Saccharomyces cerevisiae S288C: one gene and its partners. Changing the gene in region 1 together with any one later gene gives a genetic interaction. Each region holds a gene or a part of one and is shown on either strand. Other genes may lie near its edges.

Region 1 (3,589 bases):
TTGAGATAGTTAAGCTGACTCGTAATGTTAGCAGGGCGGAAATAATGTTGAAGAATCTGGCTACCGACAACCCTGAGGCGATCATAATACTAATCAAGATCTTTTTGGTGTGTGATCAAGAATTAGACGCAATAAAGCTCACATACGATATGCTTTCGCAGGATAAAATAATAAACAACACTAATAACCGCATGGATTATAAATCTGAATTACTGTGCTTACAAGCGCAATTTTTGATAGACAAAAGGCAGGATTACAGCTTGGCGCAAAACATAGCGCAAGAGGCAGTCAATTGTTCTCCCAGTGAATTTAGACCTTGGTATCTTTTATCCAAGGTGTATGTAAAGCTAAATGATATTGAAAATGCCTTACTGATACTGAATTCATGCCCTATGTCTCCATTAAAGGAAAAATACGTACTGAAAAGAGTAGCTCCGTTGCCTTCGAATAATAGTCTTCATTTGCCATTGCCAATTGACGTTGTACTGGATGAAGTGACGTCGTTGAATCCACAAGACGTTCAGAATGAACACCGCTCTGCGGATCCAATGCTGGTCAATTTAGCTGCGTCGAACTTGAAATCTACTTTCCAATTGGCATACCGATTATTGACAGAAATTGTGCAGATCACCGGCTGGGAAAATCTGTTAAAGTACAGATCAAACATTTTCGTTATGGAAGAAGAGTACCAAAAATCATCATCTTCGTTACCAAAGGACGTTAACAAACAAGAAGAACAGCCTCTGAGGGCTAAACGGCTGTGTGAACGATGGTTAGACAACCTCTTCATGCTTTTATATGAAGACCTGAAGATGTATACATTATGGCAAACCGAACAACTGTACATGGATGCACAGAATAACAACCACAATAAGTTGACTTTCGAATGGGAGTTATTTGGCCTTTGTGCACGTCGACTGGGCCATTTCCCTGAGGCCGCCAAGGCCTTCCAGAACGGTTTATCGCAGAGATTTTCATCAAGGTGCGCGAGGAAACTGCTGGAATATTGTATAAACGAACGCCAACGGGTCAAAAATTTTATAAACTCACCTAATTCGCATGACATGGTCCCTGAAATAGTAAGCTCACGCATAAGAGAGCTAGACAATAGCATTATCGACCTTTGCGTGAAGATATGCTGCTGGAACCACCGTTGGTATACGGAATTTTCCATAAGTTTACTTGATTGTTTAAGTGTGGTTATTCAAGATATGAGTCTGACCAAAGTTTCGAATGAAATCTCGTCAAGATATCCAGAAACTGTTCTCAACTTGGTGCAGGAGAATTTGCTCAATTTCTTCACTACTTGCACCATTGGATGCTACGATGCATAAATACGATAAAAAGACATTAATACGTATATATAATCCAAAAAAAATTGGCGATACGCTTCAACGTTGTGTCAAACTCTTGGGTCACTTTAAAGAAAACCCAGCATACATTAATACAGAGCAATGCTGGTTATGTAACTTCGCCGCCCGCCGCCATTCGAGGAAAAATATTCGTGTTTCGAGAATGCGGGCAAAACGAAAATATCAATAAAACACATACGGGAAATTCATTGTGCACAACGACCTCTAACAATTTCTGCCAAAAAGAAAGTTCAAGAGCGTCCCATTCATCATGAAGGAAGAGCTCAGCAAAGTGAGCAGTATGCAAAATTTCGAGATGATCCAGCGTGAACGATTGCCAACATTGTATGAAGTGTTAATACAGAGGACATCGCAGCCAGTTGATCTCTGGACTTTTTATACATTTCTTTCACAATTCCCATATGCCATCAACTATCTGGACTTTTGGGTTGACCTTATGACACATACACGACTTTGCAAAAACTACATAGAGTTGGTAAGAAAATCATTAATCAACTTTCCACAAGAACAACAGCAGAATGGAAGTACATCTACGGCTACATTTGACTTGCTGAACGCACTGATAGAAGAAGGGCACCTAGACCCGGAAGCACCTGATAAACTCTTAGAAAATAGCGGCCCAGACGTGCCCTTTTCACCAAAATTAAACGAATTGCTGGGTGATTGGAAGCACCAATCGGGTATCGGTCAAGAAGCCCTGAGAAACGAAGACGTAGCGCTGATCGTCGACGAGATAATGAAAAGGCGCTCCCAACAAGACGGAAAACCGCAGATAACTACAAAACAACTGCTGCACAGCGCAGTTGGTCTCTGCAACACCTATTTAGTATCGCCCGAACAAAGCGAACGGTACCTGAGCAACATCCCCATGGAAACGCGGAACCGCATAATAGAAAGCGTACAAATCGAGCGAAAGTACGACATTGAGATTTTTGACGACCTAAAAAACCTAACTTACCAATTCCTAGAAATGGATTGTTTCCCAAAATTTCTAAGCCGCGTCGCACTACACAACATCCACGATGAAATATCTGATTGGAGATTCCACTCAGTGGGCGTCACCAACGAAAAAAGCAATCGCTCTCGAGGCCAGACGCACATTTCTCGCTCGCCATTCTCCAATCACACGTCAATCAGTCGTATTGGCTTTGGTTTGCTCTGGCTAGGCATCGGCTTTTGGATCGGATATGTTCTAATCTTCCTGGCGTATAGTCGCGCAATCCGTGTCGTTACGGTCGTGCCATTTACACTGGGATGCTACTGCATTGTGTGTGGCATGTATCAAGTGGACATTGTGTATTCCTGGTTTGGCGTCACACAGAGACTTCTCCACAGACACAAAAACGCTGGCAATGACGAAGGAGATGCTTCTAGTGATACCGATCACGTGCCAATGATACTTGCGGTGTTCGGCGGTAGGCGCCGTCTTACCCGCATAGAGCACCCATTTACTCGGCAGCTTCTACGTAAGCGTGGACTGTGGTGTCTGCTTCTCGTAGTGGGTGCCACTGCCGCATTCACAGTTATTTTCAGCTGTGTTCCCGGCCGTCGTGTATGATGTAATCCATCACCCCCCTATAAAAACACCTGTGCACCGCATATTTCCATAGCGCGTGACGCTAAGTACAAGAAACAGCGAGGGGCCGTTAAGTGCAGGCTTTACCGAGGGCGCCGGCTGGCGCTTCCCGTGGAAGGGTGTTTGACTCATCATCGCATCGCATTACCTCATGATGAGTAAATAGTTGCGATTTCACTTATCACCTCTCGCGGAAAAAAAAGGCGATGACATGATATATAAGGCTCTCTCGTAAGACACTTAACTATCCAACGTTCATTAGATTATTCGGTCAATTTCTTTTTTCATGCCCCTCCTTTTTCTTTTCTTTTCTTGACTCGTCGTTTCTTTTTCTTTTTTTTTTTTTTTTTTTTCTTCAGAACTATAACACATAGATACACTCGAACATCTAATTGTTTAAATACTGCAAAGAATACAAGGTAATCGACTCTTCTACATACCCTTTTTGCAGATTTGAAATAAAAAAAACATTATATGTTTAGCTTATCGAACTCTCAATACACCTGCCAAGACTACATATCTGACCACATCTGGAAAACTAGCTCCCACTAATTTCATTGCTTAATAATCAGAAATTCTATCACAAACCACTCCTAAAAATATTTCAAATGTCCTCCGCTGCAACAAAAGCTACTTTCTG
Region 2 (6,093 bases), on another chromosome or scaffold:
ATGAATATTTTATTATTTTGAAATTGCATAAATCAAGGATAGTTGGTAAATGCTAATTCCTTAATTTTTCGGTGAGTGCATTCGCAATTGGCATCATACATTAGGGTTCAATGTGCTTTAATAGATGATGATACTAAATACTTATACTTTGAAATAACTTAATCAATGTAAATTATTGTCTTGATTCATTTATACTTAAATTTTTATATCTCAACATATGATATATCCTTACATTAAGACTTATTCAAGAAACATTTTTCAACGATAATTATTAGTAGGCTAAAAATGGCATAGGAACCAGAAAATAATGTTGAAGAAATGAAGCCATCTGTTTAATATTTGGGGAAAAAAGTGAAGAAATTAACGAATATGTGCATATATATATATATATATATATATATATATATTGCACAGGTGATTTTGATGTAGAATGTAGCCTTTTCGAAAGAGTAATTTGGTTTTATCTACAGAGTTCCGAAACATTGTTAAGTGCCTGTTCTTATATAATTAAACTGTACTTTCTGTAAAAGTCAATTTGTGGCTGGCGCATCCACGGTATACCAATGGTTCCGTGTAATTCGATATTGACTAAGAACCAAAAAGAAATGCTTTAATCCTTGTATTGTCCAAATCCCCCACCACCAGGGGTTTTAATGATGAATCGATCACCGGGTTGAGCGTAAATCGTATTTTTACCGCCGACATTGATTAATGCGCCTGTGCTATGTCTTACCCATAAATTCTCACCTCTACTACCGTCTTGTCCTCCCTTTATACCATGAGGGCCAATGACACGACGTTCTGATAATATAGATGCTGTTACAGCCTTCCGAAATTGAACATCCCTTACTACGCCATTTCCGCCAGTATATTTACCTTTGCCTCCTGAACCTCTTCTGATCGAGAACTCTTTCAACAGAACGGGGTATCTCCTTTCAAATACCTCAGTATCTGTCATTCTTGTATTGGTCATATTCGTGTGTACAGCGTCTGAGCCATTCCAACCACTTCCTCTCCATGAATCTGCACCAGCCCCCGAGCCGCCACATATGGTTTCATAATATCCAAAGCCTTTGATCTGCTTATCGGTTTTGTTACCAGAATTTCCTCCAGTTCCAAATGTAAAGTTGTTACAGTCACCTTGAGAATCTGCCATGACGTTAAATGTTTTTAAGATTACATCTGTCACTCTTTGGGAAGTTAATACATTGCCTCCGACAACAGCAGCACCGGATCGGGGGCTCAAGAGGGAACCAGCAGGAATTTTTATTGTTAAGGGTTTTAAACAACCTTGATTTAAAGGAATATCTTCGCCTACTAGACACCGTAGACAATAAAGAATCGCAGAATTAGTAATAGCCTCTGGTGCATTTAAATTACCATAAACTTGGGGAGAAGTGCCATCGAAATTAAAAATATACTCCTCTTTTTCAGGTCTTATGATAACTTGTAGTTTAATTAAGCTTCCATCATCTAAGCGATCTTCGCCAGAAAACTTCGTTGTGCCAAAATGTTCAACCATTTTTGCAAGCATTTTTTTTATGGATTCAGATGCATTTGTCTGAATTGCAGCCATGTATTTCAATATTGTAGCCAGATCATATTCCTTAGTTAATGACCCAATTAACTGTATCCCTTTTGTGTTAGCTGCGACTTGCGCTTTTAAATCGCTTATGTTATCACTAAATCTTCTTGAACCTGAGCAGCCTGGGTATTTGCCTGGATCTTCTACGAAAAGCTTGTAAATTAATTCTTCCTGGAAAATTCCCTCTTTGACAACCAATTCGGAATAAATTGCGGTTCCTTCTTCGTACAATTCTTTGGAATTTGGAGGCACTGAACCGGGTAGAATACCTCCAATATCTGCATGATGGGCTCTTGAAGCCACATAAAATATCAATTCGCCAGTTGAAGAGAAAGAAGGAGTTATTACTGTTATGTCTGGTAAATGAGTACCACCAATATCCGGATGGTTTGTGATTAAAACATCACCAGGCTTTAATTTGCCTTCCCATAACTTCGCCTGTGCTGATATGCAGGTTGACATTGATCCTAAGTGAACAGGTACATGAGGAGCGTTAGCGACTAAGTTTCCTTTAGAGTCGAATAGTGCACATGAAAAATCTAATCTCTCTTTGACGTTAGTTGAAACAGAAGTTTTCCTCAATTGAGTACCCATCTGGAGGGCGATATCCATAAACCTATGACTGAAAATAGACAATAAGATTGGATCTATATCAAGTTCATATCCGCTTTTAGATAATGTCTTCGCAGCCTTTTGGTTGATCTTGATAAATATATGAGAGTTTAAAATTGTTGCTTGGCTGTTTGGTAAAATAATATTTGTTTGGGTACCGTCAGCCAATATGGCTGGGCCCTCGATAATTGTTCCGGCAGGAAGATCATCAATTTTGAAGACCGCAGTGTCGACCCATTTGTTGTCAAAATATGCTTTCTGGGTAAAACTAGCATCCTTTGACACGTCGGCTTTCTTGAAATGGGAAATTTCAATCAATTGCTCATCAACCGTTTTTTCTTTTCTAACGCCTGATTTCCCAATTGCTCTTATCCTTATATCATCAATTATAATTCGTTTGTCATCGAATGAGAATCCGAACTCTTTTTTATGAGCTTCAGAGAACCATTCCCTAAAATTCCATTGGTCATCATATTTTTGTAATATCATCAAACTGGTTTCAGTACCTTCATATCTGAGATTTAAATATCTTTCCAAGACTATGTCCTCCCGAGAAAACGACTGAGATAAAAGGTTTTTGATTGAATTTTTAGAAAGTTCTAAGAATCTTTTTTTCACTTTCAAGATGGTCTCTGGCTCACCCAAGATAAAAGAGCAAGGCTCTTGGTTTTCTTCAATAACATCTGCTAAGAAAATGCCATAAGCGGACAAGATAGAAGAATATCTATGAATTAAAACAGTGTCAATGCCCAATGAATCTGCAACCGCTATGGCGTGTTGCCCGCCAGCCCCGCCAAAGGAAACTAACCGATGCTGAGATACTACATGTCCTTTTGCTTCTGTAATGGCCCTCACAGGTCTTGCCATGCATTCGTTAGCTACTTTGATAAATCCATAGGCAACCTCTTCCATGGTTAGATTTGAATTCAGATCCTTATTGATGACATCTGTTAATTCTCTGAATTTCAAAGTAGTGGTTTCTAAGTCAAGTGATTCATCCTCATTGGGCCCAAAAATTTTGGGGAAGAACTCAGGAACCAAACGTCCTAAAAAGAGGTTGGCGTCTGTAATGGTCAAAGGCCCGCCCTTTCTGTAGGCTGCAGGGCCTGGATCAGCAGCTGCTGAATCAGGGCCTACTCTGAATAACCCGTTTTTCCATGACAAAATAGAACTTCCTCCAGCAGCAACAGTATGGATGTCAAGTTGAGGAGATTGTATGATGATCCCTGCGGTAACAGTTTCAAAAACATGTTCTAACCTCCCATCGCCGTACCTACTGACATCAGTAGATGTTCCTCCCATGTCAAAGCCTATTAAGGGTATGTTATTATTTTTATCATAGCATGTACTAGAATAACCTATTACGCCACCTGCAGGACCAGATAAAATAGATTTCAAACCGGAAAATTTTCCCCCATCCACTAAACCACCATCAGACTGCATGAATTGAATGTGGGTATCTTCTGCGTGGCTCAAACCTGCAGAAATGCTATTCAAGTACTTTTTAATTACCGGAGTAAGGTAGGCATCTGCGACAGAACTGTGAGCCCTCGGTAAAAATTTTATCATTGGAGAGACTTCAGATGATAATGAAACATGAGAAAACCCAATCTCCCTGGCAATATTACCAACAATTCGCTCATGGTCTGGAAAAGTGTATGAGTGTAAAAATGCTATCGCAATAGACTTGATTCCGCTAGCATAAAGCACTTTCAGAATAGATCTTACGCTTGATTCATCTGGCTTCTTTATGACCCTTACCATTTCGCCACTATTACCTTCCAGGATACCTTCTTGTTCATTAGGAGACGATTTGGTAAAATAAGGGTCTTCCGAGAAATCTTCTAAAGTAACTCTCTCATCTATTTCAACTACAGTGTCATATAATGGCACTACCTTTTTTATATTTAAGTTGAAGATATCTGGCCTGGTTTGGTCTCCAATCAGCAATGAATCCTTAAAGCCTTTCGTAGTAATGAAGGCACAACGTTCACCATTTCTTTCTAGAGCGCAGTTTGTAGCTAGGGTTGTCCCCATTCTTAAACTTCTCACATTAGAGATGTCTAGAGGAATACCGCGAGGAATTGTCTTGTGTTCAAGCACCTCCAAGAGACGTCTTATGCCTTCAAGGGGAGCATCTGGATAGTTTTTGGGATCCACCGACAAGAGCTTGATGACAGTATCATGTTCTTGTTTACCTGTACCAATATTCCCCACACAATCAGTGAAAGTTCCACCCTTATCGATGGCAATTCTTATGTTTCCTTTCTGCATTGTATACCAAGAAGTTATATTTAGGTTTTCAATGCTCAAAATTATTACTGTTTAAGTTCAGTTCTTAGTTTTTGGCATTCTTTCTTCAACACCACGTAACATTTGATCTTATCTTTCTTTTCAGTGGTAATGTTATGGCGATCGTGCTCAATCGGAAAAGCACCTGAGGCAAACAAAACAATTGTTGAAGTATTCATGCAAATAATACTGAATAGAGCGGAGTACGCTTGTTCTTAATTCCAGAGATTGGTAAAGTGTTTATCATTGCTACCCTCTAGAAATAAAAATTAATTATTTAGGTAAAAAGTAGTACTGAGGTTTCATATCTGTAGACTGATGGAGTAAAAAAACATTGAAAAGACTATAAAGAAATTATAAGTAGATACACAATTGCTTAACCTTTCATGTAAGCATCTAATTCAGCGTCAAGAGCTTCGACAGAAGTAGGAGTGTTATTCTTCTCACGGCCCTTGTTCTTTTTGGAGACTCTGTTAGGCTTTTGGCGATAATGGCTCCCTGGCCTGCCTCTTCCGTGTTCTTGAGCCGTCTGTTTGCGACGGTTGTGGGCATTCATTCTAGAATGCTTTCTCTGTGGTTGGTAAATCTCCACTTCAATTTTTGCATTATGTAACTCATGTCCATTATAACGCTCGACAATCTTTTCCAAAACTTCTGGGTCTTCAAATTCGTAAATACATGTACGATCCTCTTTATTGTCAAAAATTTTCGAAAATATTGGCGAGCCAAACTCTTTAATCATATCATCGAGGGTGTAGTCAGAAACGTCTAGTGGGATTTTGGATATTCTAATTCTCTTAGGCAAAGGAGGCTCTTCCCTCTCTCTATAAAGGCGATCTTTCGACCTTGATGCAGCATCCGAAGGCGCAAATCCCAGTCTAGGTCCTAATTCATTTCTTAAATCCCTTCTGCGGTATCTCGTTACCTTATGATTAGATGAGCTGTCTGTGTGACTATTTCCAATAATTTCGTCAAATGCTTTGTCCATTGCAAAATGCAGTATTGAATCGTCTAATGGAAAAGGTACTAGACGCTTATCGTTTCAGTTTTTTAGTCTTTTCCATCTATTTATCAGTCTGTACTCAAAATAACCTTATTGTATGTAACCTTTTTCATTTCACGATGATAATTTCTTGCCGAGTTAGACAGAAAATGACCGTGATAGTTTGTCATAATTTTCAATAGGGCAGAAAGAATTTTAAAGATTATTTGCTATCTAGACATTATGTGTTTTATATGATTGCTGTAAAAGTATTAGGAGAGATCGTCGAAAATATCCTTAAACCTTGGCACGTTCCCATAGCTCCTTTTGATGTTTGCAAGCCAAGTTACGGAGTTGGCAAATTGTCTTAATGTAGGTTCAACAGTAGCCAAATTTCCGTAAGCTACGGTTAGCCTATATGCGGCTTCTTCGCATTCTTGATACTCTTCCAATGGCCCATACTTGGTGTTGATGGCGTCAGCTACGATAGGCAAAAGTTCTAAATCAGAGTTCCCTTTCGTGACGAGAGCTGAATAGTTGAAAATTAGTGTGGAAACTGCAATAGCCAAATTCTGTGACTGTTTAGCAGATGCCTGAGAAAATTCAGTATCTATAGTCTCAA
Region 3 (3,750 bases), on another chromosome or scaffold:
ATAGTACATCCGATGGGAATGTTACAGTAACAACCGTTAATATACAGGATGTTGAAGTTTCTGGAGAATACTGTTTGAATGCCCAGATTGAAGGTAAGCTGGATATGCCATGTTTTAGCTACATGAAGCTGAGGACACCACTAAAATACGATTTAATTGTGGATGTAGATGAAGATAATGAGGTCAAACAAGTGTCGTTATCATATGACGAGACTAACGATGCTATTACTGCTACAGTCAGATATCCAGAAGCGGGACCTACTGCACCAGTCACCAAATTAAAGAAGAAAACCAAAACTTATGCTGATAAAAAAGCTAGTAAGAATAAGGATGGAAGCACTGCACAATTCGAAGAAGATGAAGAGGTTAAGGAGGTGTCTTGGTTTCAAAAGAACTGGAAAATGTTACTTTTAGGCCTATTGATTTACAATTTTGTTGCGGGCTCAGCAAAGAAGCAACAACAAGGAGGTGCCGGAGCTGATCAAAAGACTGAGTAAATAAAGTATTGTGATTTTTTAAATTTTTAAGTGTCGTTACTTTTATCTCTTTCCCGAAAATATTTGAATACATAAAATTTTTAAATAAATGTTTTTATTTGTTCACATGTCGTGAATGACAGGTACTAGTTATCAAAAATGAAGAATATTTCTTCATTCCATTACATTATAGACATGATGATTGCCGTCAAAAGACCGACCAAAGGGGTTGTTTGGCCAATTGGTGCCATGATAGCGGCATTGCCTTTGGAACTCTTAGAGCTAGAGCTGGAAGCGCCAGAACTAGAAACACTAGAGGCAGAAGCAGCAGCCTTGATATCGCCAGAAGTGAACTTCTTTTCCTCGGCCTTAGAAGATGACTTGGAAACCTTGGCAGTAGTTTGGCTTGATTGAGATTTGGAAGTGGACGATAGTTTAACAGATGTGGATGATGCACCATTTTTGCAGACAAAAGATTCACCCTTGATACCCCCTTTCTTTTGCAAAGCTTTCAAAGCATTACAGGAGAAATTGCTTGACTTTGATTCGACATCTGCGCCACCCTTGACAGACTTCAAAGAGTCTAGGTTCAAGGAGGTGAAGTTACCAACAACTTCCAAAGTACCGCCAATGGTTGTTAGGTTGTCGAGACCACCAATTTTTTGTAAACCAGTGTTGTTAGCAACGACAAGAGCACCACCTATGGTTGACAAATTAGAGAACGACAAGTTCTTCAAGTAGTCATTGGAAACGATACTGAAGGTTTGGCCAATGGTGTTTAGCTTAGTGAAATTCAAACTTGAGATGGAGTTGTTGATGAAACCCAATGAAGAGTTAATCTTTTGCAAGTTAGCGAAGGAAACAGAGTGGACATCGGTCAAACTGATATTGTTTGCCCAAACCAAGTCATCGAAGGTGATTTTAGTCTGGTTACCGTTGAACGAAAATTGTAAAGAATCGCTGACTGTTTCAACTGGAGATTTGATCGAGGTTAATTTCTTATTGTTATTGACGTTGAACACGTTAACTTTTTTCAAGGCTGAGAATCCATCGACAGATTGTAACGAAGTGTCGGAAATATAAATGTTGTTAGCAGATTTGATATTTGAAGTAAAACTGGAGATGGCGGGTAGAGTAATCAGTTTTATACTATCAACGCTCTGTAAAGACCCAAATGAAGCAGAAGTCAAGATTGTCAAACTCTGTAGGTTCAAAGAATCTGTGATGGACTCCAAGGAATCAGCAGCGAATGAGGTTAGATTTGTAGCGTTAAATATAGTTAGAGACCCGTTGATTTCTTTAACATTAGCCAAAGCACCAGTCTTCAAACCACCACCAATAGTTAAGTTCCCGACTAACGTATCACAGCGGCTATATTTATCTAAGTCACTCTGAGCTGTGGCCGTGGCATGTGAGCTTATGGTACAGGAAGAGGGTATGCTGGAAGAAGAGGAAGTAGCAGCCAAAGCTGACGTTATTAAGAGCGCAGTTGAAGCGATAAGTGAATGTAATTGCATGATATTTTTATAGCGAGCTTTTTTTTTTTGCTTCTCTCTTGGATTAGATCTATTGCAGCGTGATGTACTGTAAGATTCTATTGAACTATACAGAGCAAGAGTTGAATAGAGAAGAATATGCACGCTATTTATATGTTTATCTGTAGAGCATATATGGGTTTGCTCGTAAGGAACCTTGAGCGGTTGAATGATATTACTTAGAGTTAATGCTATGAAAACCCAGCCCAATCATTCAACATTACTCTTTGTAGTAATAAACTCTGATCAAAGTCCGAATCAGGGCAGTGTGCCTACGCTATTTTTAGAGACTCGTAACACTATTAAAACTAAAAGCCCTCTCTACTAATTAAGATATCCCAGCTTTGTGGTCTTTTTTGGGTTTCTTTGGTTTTTTTCCCTCAAGGATACCGAAAATGCGGGCCTTAATTTAAAGCCTTTTCCGTAAAGAGAAAACAAAAATGAGTTGGCGGGTCAACGGGGAGTGCTATTTTAAACGACTCAAATACATTTGAAAAAGAAAAAAATAGCCGCCCAGCTCCCACGTGCATATCACGTGCATTATAACCCGGTTTTCAGATAATAGAAATCCGCTCACTCTATTTATTTAAACGCTTTCTTTCTTTTTTTTTCTATTTATGGGGCCCACCCGCGGAAGAAAAGAAAAGCGGGCAATTACTAATGCGGGTTCAGTCCAAAGGAGATTTGATGTGGCAATAGCATCATAATGATGGAACCTACGTTAAGTGCGTTAAATAGGGAGAACTGTTTGTCACTTTATTCTTGTATACCGCTCTTAGTAATGATTTGTTTATGCTCTTTATCGTAACCTGCGCTTACAAAACTAACCACGTGCAGCATCGTCTTGTGTTTGTCCGTCCCTTGGGGTTCTTCGGATTTTCTATCTCCTCTTTTTTTTTCCTTACACTTTCATTTTGGGAAAAATTCGATTCTTTTTCTTTGATTTTTTTTTGGTTTCCTCTTGAATCTGTAAAGAACAAGAGCAGAAACTTAAAGTTAAGAAGGACAATAAAGAGCATACTATTACAAAATAATAGGAGCTTTGCGTTTGTTATTTCAGTCGAATAGTACTCCTTTATACTCTCTGCCGCTGACATCTTTGTCCTTTACTGTTTAGGACTTATAGCGACTGTTATTTTTTAGTACACCAAACAAGGAAAAAAGAACAATACAACGTAAATATGAGTAGTCGCAAAAGCACCGCTTCTAGCTTACTGTTACGGCAATATAGAGAACTTACTGATCCTAAGAAAGCTATTCCCTCATTTCATATAGAACTAGAGGATGATTCAAATATTTTCACTTGGAACATAGGTGTTATGGTGCTAAATGAGGATTCCATTTATCATGGAGGGTTTTTCAAAGCTCAAATGAGATTTCCGGAAGACTTTCCCTTTTCTCCACCACAGTTTCGATTTACGCCGGCTATCTACCATCCAAACGTTTACAGGGATGGCAGGCTTTGTATTTCTATTTTACATCAAAGTGGGGATCCTATGACCGACGAACCTGATGCTGAAACGTGGTCCCCCGTGCAGACCGTGGAAAGTGTGTTGATCTCTATAGTATCTCTATTAGAGGACCCCAATATCAACTCGCCAGCAAATGTCGATGCCGCTGTTGATTACAGAAAGAACCCTGAACAATACAAGCAAAGAGTCAAAATGGAAGTGGAAAGATCGAAACAAGATATCCCTAAAGGTTTCATAATGCCCACTTCTGAATCGGCGTACATATCT
Region 4 (3,318 bases), on another chromosome or scaffold:
AGGGAACTTGATCCTATTTCTTTGATTTTAATTCCTGGAGAGACCATGTGGGTTCCAATAAAATCCAGTAAAAGTGGCAGAATATTTGCTTTAGTTTTTTCATCCAACGAAAGGTACTTCTTTTGGCTGCAAGAGAAGAACTCAGGTAATTTGCCCTTAAATGAATTGAGTGCGAAAGATAAAGAAATTTACAATAAGATGATTGGAGTGCTGAATAATAGTAGTGAAAGTGATGAGGAAGAAAGCAATGACGAAAAGCAAAAAGCTCAAGATGTGGATGTTAGTATGCAAGATTAAATCAAGGTTGTGGCATTTTTTGATAAAAAACTGAAGAGAAAAAATATACCATATCAACGCATTTGGCTGTGAACTTCTGTAAAGAGATACGGACCATAACAATAGGCATGATGATGGCATCTATAACTTCTATTGGAAGGTAAGTTTATTTTTCCCATAAATATGTATATATGGTCTATACTCTCAAATGAGCCTACATATTGTTGCATATTAACGAGGTTCCCATCTCACCGACCAACTTAGTTTATCACCTGCTTTAAATGGGATGATGCTTATGTCTTTGCCATCGCTGATAACCTGAGGGATAACTTGTTCTTTTTTGAATAATATTGCCTTATCTGAAGAAGCCACTTCGCTATCTTTAACCTCATAAAAGGAAATTCCGAAGTCGGAAACAAAGCCCTTTAAGTTCTCCAAGGCATTTTGCTCTTCAAAAACTTGGGCGATATAAGGGATCGCAAAAGATTGTGAGTAAACTCCTGCGCAAACACCCTCGTAATTGGCCTTATTTTGTACAGGATGAGGTGCTGAATCAGATCCAAAGAAAAAATATGGTTTCCCTGATACAGCAGCTTTGACTAGAGCCTTTTTGTCATTTGGAAGTTTCGCAACAGGTTTGCAAAAATTTACCGGATTTCCGGCCCAATCATCAATTGTTAAAAATAAGTGATGAGCCGTTAATGTGGCAGCAACCTTTACGTCAGTGGCTTTCTTCACGTTCTTATTTATATCCTCGATTGTCTTTATTGCCGACTCGCTAGTGCAGTGTTCCAGAATTATTTTCAGGTTTGGGAAATCATTATGCAATTTTTTCAAGGCTGGCAAAAAGGCTTCCTCTGCATTCAATACATGAATAGGTTCTTTGTCTCCATCATGGACAGAAGGTTTTTCCCCATGCAAATTTAATACCAGGTTCTCTTCTTGCATAGCCTTGAAAATTGGGTAAAATGCGCTGAAGTCATTTGGATCCACCCCAGCAGCCGAATTTGTTGTTACTCCCGCTGGATAACACTTTACTCCACGAATGGCATGTTGTTGGGCAGCTTCATGAATTAAATCTGGAGTTAAGTCTTTTGAAAGATAAAAACTCATTAAGAAGGTAGTTTTAGGAGCTAGTTTCTGCAGTGTCTTTTTGTATTCAATCACTCTATCTAGTGTGGTAATTGGAGGTTGTAAATTTGGCATGATGTAAGCAATTGAAACCCCACCATCTCTAATCTTGGGGGTGACTAGTTCACACATCGCACCCTCTCTTACATGAACATGCATATCACATGTCAAACCTAAATCGATTTCTTGTACCATTGCTTTGTTAGGTATTACTTAAGTGATATAGTGGTCACCAGAACACTTTCAAAGTATATCCTATCTTTCAAATGTGTTTATCTCTTCTTATATAGCTTCTCTGACGATGCCGATTCATCGGAATTCTCCGAATGATGAAATTTGACTCTGTAGATACTATTCTTGAAAAAATTAGAGCTGATGCCGAAAGACAACTAAACTAGCATCGGTTTCAAGAAAAAATACGCGAGAGGCAGCATGACATGAGTGAATTGTGGGATAATTGTTGAGATTCTATTTTTTTGTAAAGCTATAATATTAGGCATACAAAACATATTAGAAGTTCTCAACGAGGACATGGGAATTCGCAGGAAGAAATCGATATTTCTATGTTATAATATTAGTGTTTCTTCTTTCATTTCAAACGATACCATTCATTTTGTAATTGCATAATTAATCCCTGCATTTCAGCTCCCATTAAATTGGCTAATCCCTAGTGTTGTTCTATTAGTCTCATGATTTATGTCTTTTCTTAACGGTGTATAGTAATTTTCTAGCAACGAAAATGATGTTGGTAAACAATTGTACTAGTATTTGATAAATTTTTCAGAGGCTTACCAACATTAATGAGATATAAACAGATGTATATTGCAGAATAAAAAAGATGTAGCAATATGCATGCGTAAAGATTAATCAAGTTAAACTGGATGGTGTTCGTATCCTGTATTTCCTTGTTGTTGTATTATCGACGGAGGGTTGGCCGAGTGGTCTAAGGCGGCAGACTTAAGATCTGTTGGACGGTTGTCCGCGCGAGTTCGAACCTCGCATCCTTCAGTATTTTTTTTTTATTTTGACGGCGCCACAAAATTTTTAAAATATGGCAAAGACAATGTGCTATGTAGTTTACGGGATTCTAGCCCTGATTCAGCAAAGAGAAAAACACGCAGTCGCAATAATCTCTTAGATTTTTGTTAGTGTTTTATACTTTGACACTTCTATATGTTAAAAAAATTCCTTTTCGAAAATGAAGATGATAATTATTATACAGGGACTACAGTAGGAACTGATTACTATTGTTCGGAAGCTATAATTTTTTCAACAATTTTTAGAGTTTTATCAGCACCAGAATTATCAATTTGAGATTTTTTAGCATAATCGGGACTTTCTAACTTTTTCCTTATGGCCTCATCAAGTTGTGTTCTCAGTTCCTTGATTAAAACACCATTCTTACACCAGGTTCTAATTGGGAGCCAGTTGTCGACAACGATGCCCGGTGAATGAATAGTACCTCCAATGTCATAAGAGATTGCCCCTCCGAATAATAGTAATGATAATGTAGTAGTTGGGGTTAAGTCCCTCAAATACAACTTATTAGTAACTTGAGACGTGGTAAACAAAACAAATGGGTATTTTACAACGGTTGGTATTTTGGATTGACGGGATATTGGACCATCCACCTCAGAGAGTAACTTAGCGTCTTCCAAGTTTACTGAATTGGTTGAAAATAAGACTGAACTTGGATGAATGAATGCCCTAGTAGCAGGTAACGGTAAATCTTCCAAATCAACCTTTTGCGTCTCTTGCGAAATTTTCGTCTTATATTCTTCTAATTTGTCCTGATACTCTTCGCTTCGAATCCAGTATTTGATCATTTTGGCTTCAGGATCTTTTTCAACAGCACCGGAACTTGTTGATAGATACTTTACATCTGGTAGTTGCACCCTGGCTATGTGTGGA

What was found.
Region 2: mutations in RAX1 (region 1) and OXP1 together harm fitness more than expected from each alone (negative genetic interaction), as found in Saccharomyces cerevisiae (one large-scale study listed by BioGRID).
Region 3: mutations in RAX1 (region 1) and PST1 together harm fitness more than expected from each alone (negative genetic interaction), as found in Saccharomyces cerevisiae (one large-scale study listed by BioGRID).
Region 4: mutations in RAX1 (region 1) and URA4 together harm fitness more than expected from each alone (negative genetic interaction), as found in Saccharomyces cerevisiae (one large-scale study listed by BioGRID).

What each region holds. Positions count from the first base shown.
Region 1 is NC_001147.6:879,342-882,930, forward strand, and holds RAX1 (Rax1p), read left to right. Parts: upstream 1-1,623; coding exon 1,624-2,931; downstream 2,932-3,589. Other genes in the region: BUD7 (exomer complex subunit), read left to right, coding at 1-1,334; YOR302W (uncharacterized protein), read left to right, coding at 3,424-3,501; carbamoyl-phosphate synthase (glutamine-hydrolyzing) CPA1, read left to right, coding at 3,558-3,589. UniProt on the Saccharomyces cerevisiae protein: Required for the establishment of the bipolar budding pattern. Involved in selecting bud sites at both the distal and proximal poles of daughter cells as well as near previously used division sites on mother cells.
Region 2 is NC_001143.9:26,217-32,309, forward strand, and holds OXP1 (5-oxoprolinase), read right to left. Parts: upstream 4,472-6,093; coding exon 611-4,471; downstream 1-610. Other genes in the region: YRA2 (Yra2p), read right to left, coding at 4,866-5,477; DOA1 (Doa1p), read right to left, coding at 5,744-6,093. UniProt on the Saccharomyces cerevisiae protein: Catalyzes the cleavage of 5-oxo-L-proline to form L-glutamate coupled to the hydrolysis of ATP to ADP and inorganic phosphate.
Region 3 is NC_001136.10:561,770-565,519, reverse strand, and holds PST1 (Pst1p), read right to left. Parts: upstream 1,994-3,750; coding exon 659-1,993; downstream 1-658. Other genes in the region: EMC10 (Emc10p), read left to right, coding at 1-497; SCF E2 ubiquitin-protein ligase catalytic subunit CDC34, read left to right, coding at 3,193-3,750. UniProt on the Saccharomyces cerevisiae protein: Has a partially redundant function to ECM33 in cell wall integrity. May be involved in a repair mechanism activated in response to cell wall damage.
Region 4 is NC_001144.5:962,069-965,386, reverse strand, and holds URA4 (dihydroorotase), read right to left. Parts: upstream 1,603-3,318; coding exon 508-1,602; downstream 1-507. Other genes in the region: proteasome regulatory particle lid subunit RPN13, read left to right, coding at 1-297; YLR419W (RNA helicase), read right to left, coding at 2,652-3,318. UniProt on the Saccharomyces cerevisiae protein: Catalyzes the conversion of ureidosuccinic acid (USA) to dihydroorotate, the third step of the de novo pyrimidine biosynthetic pathway.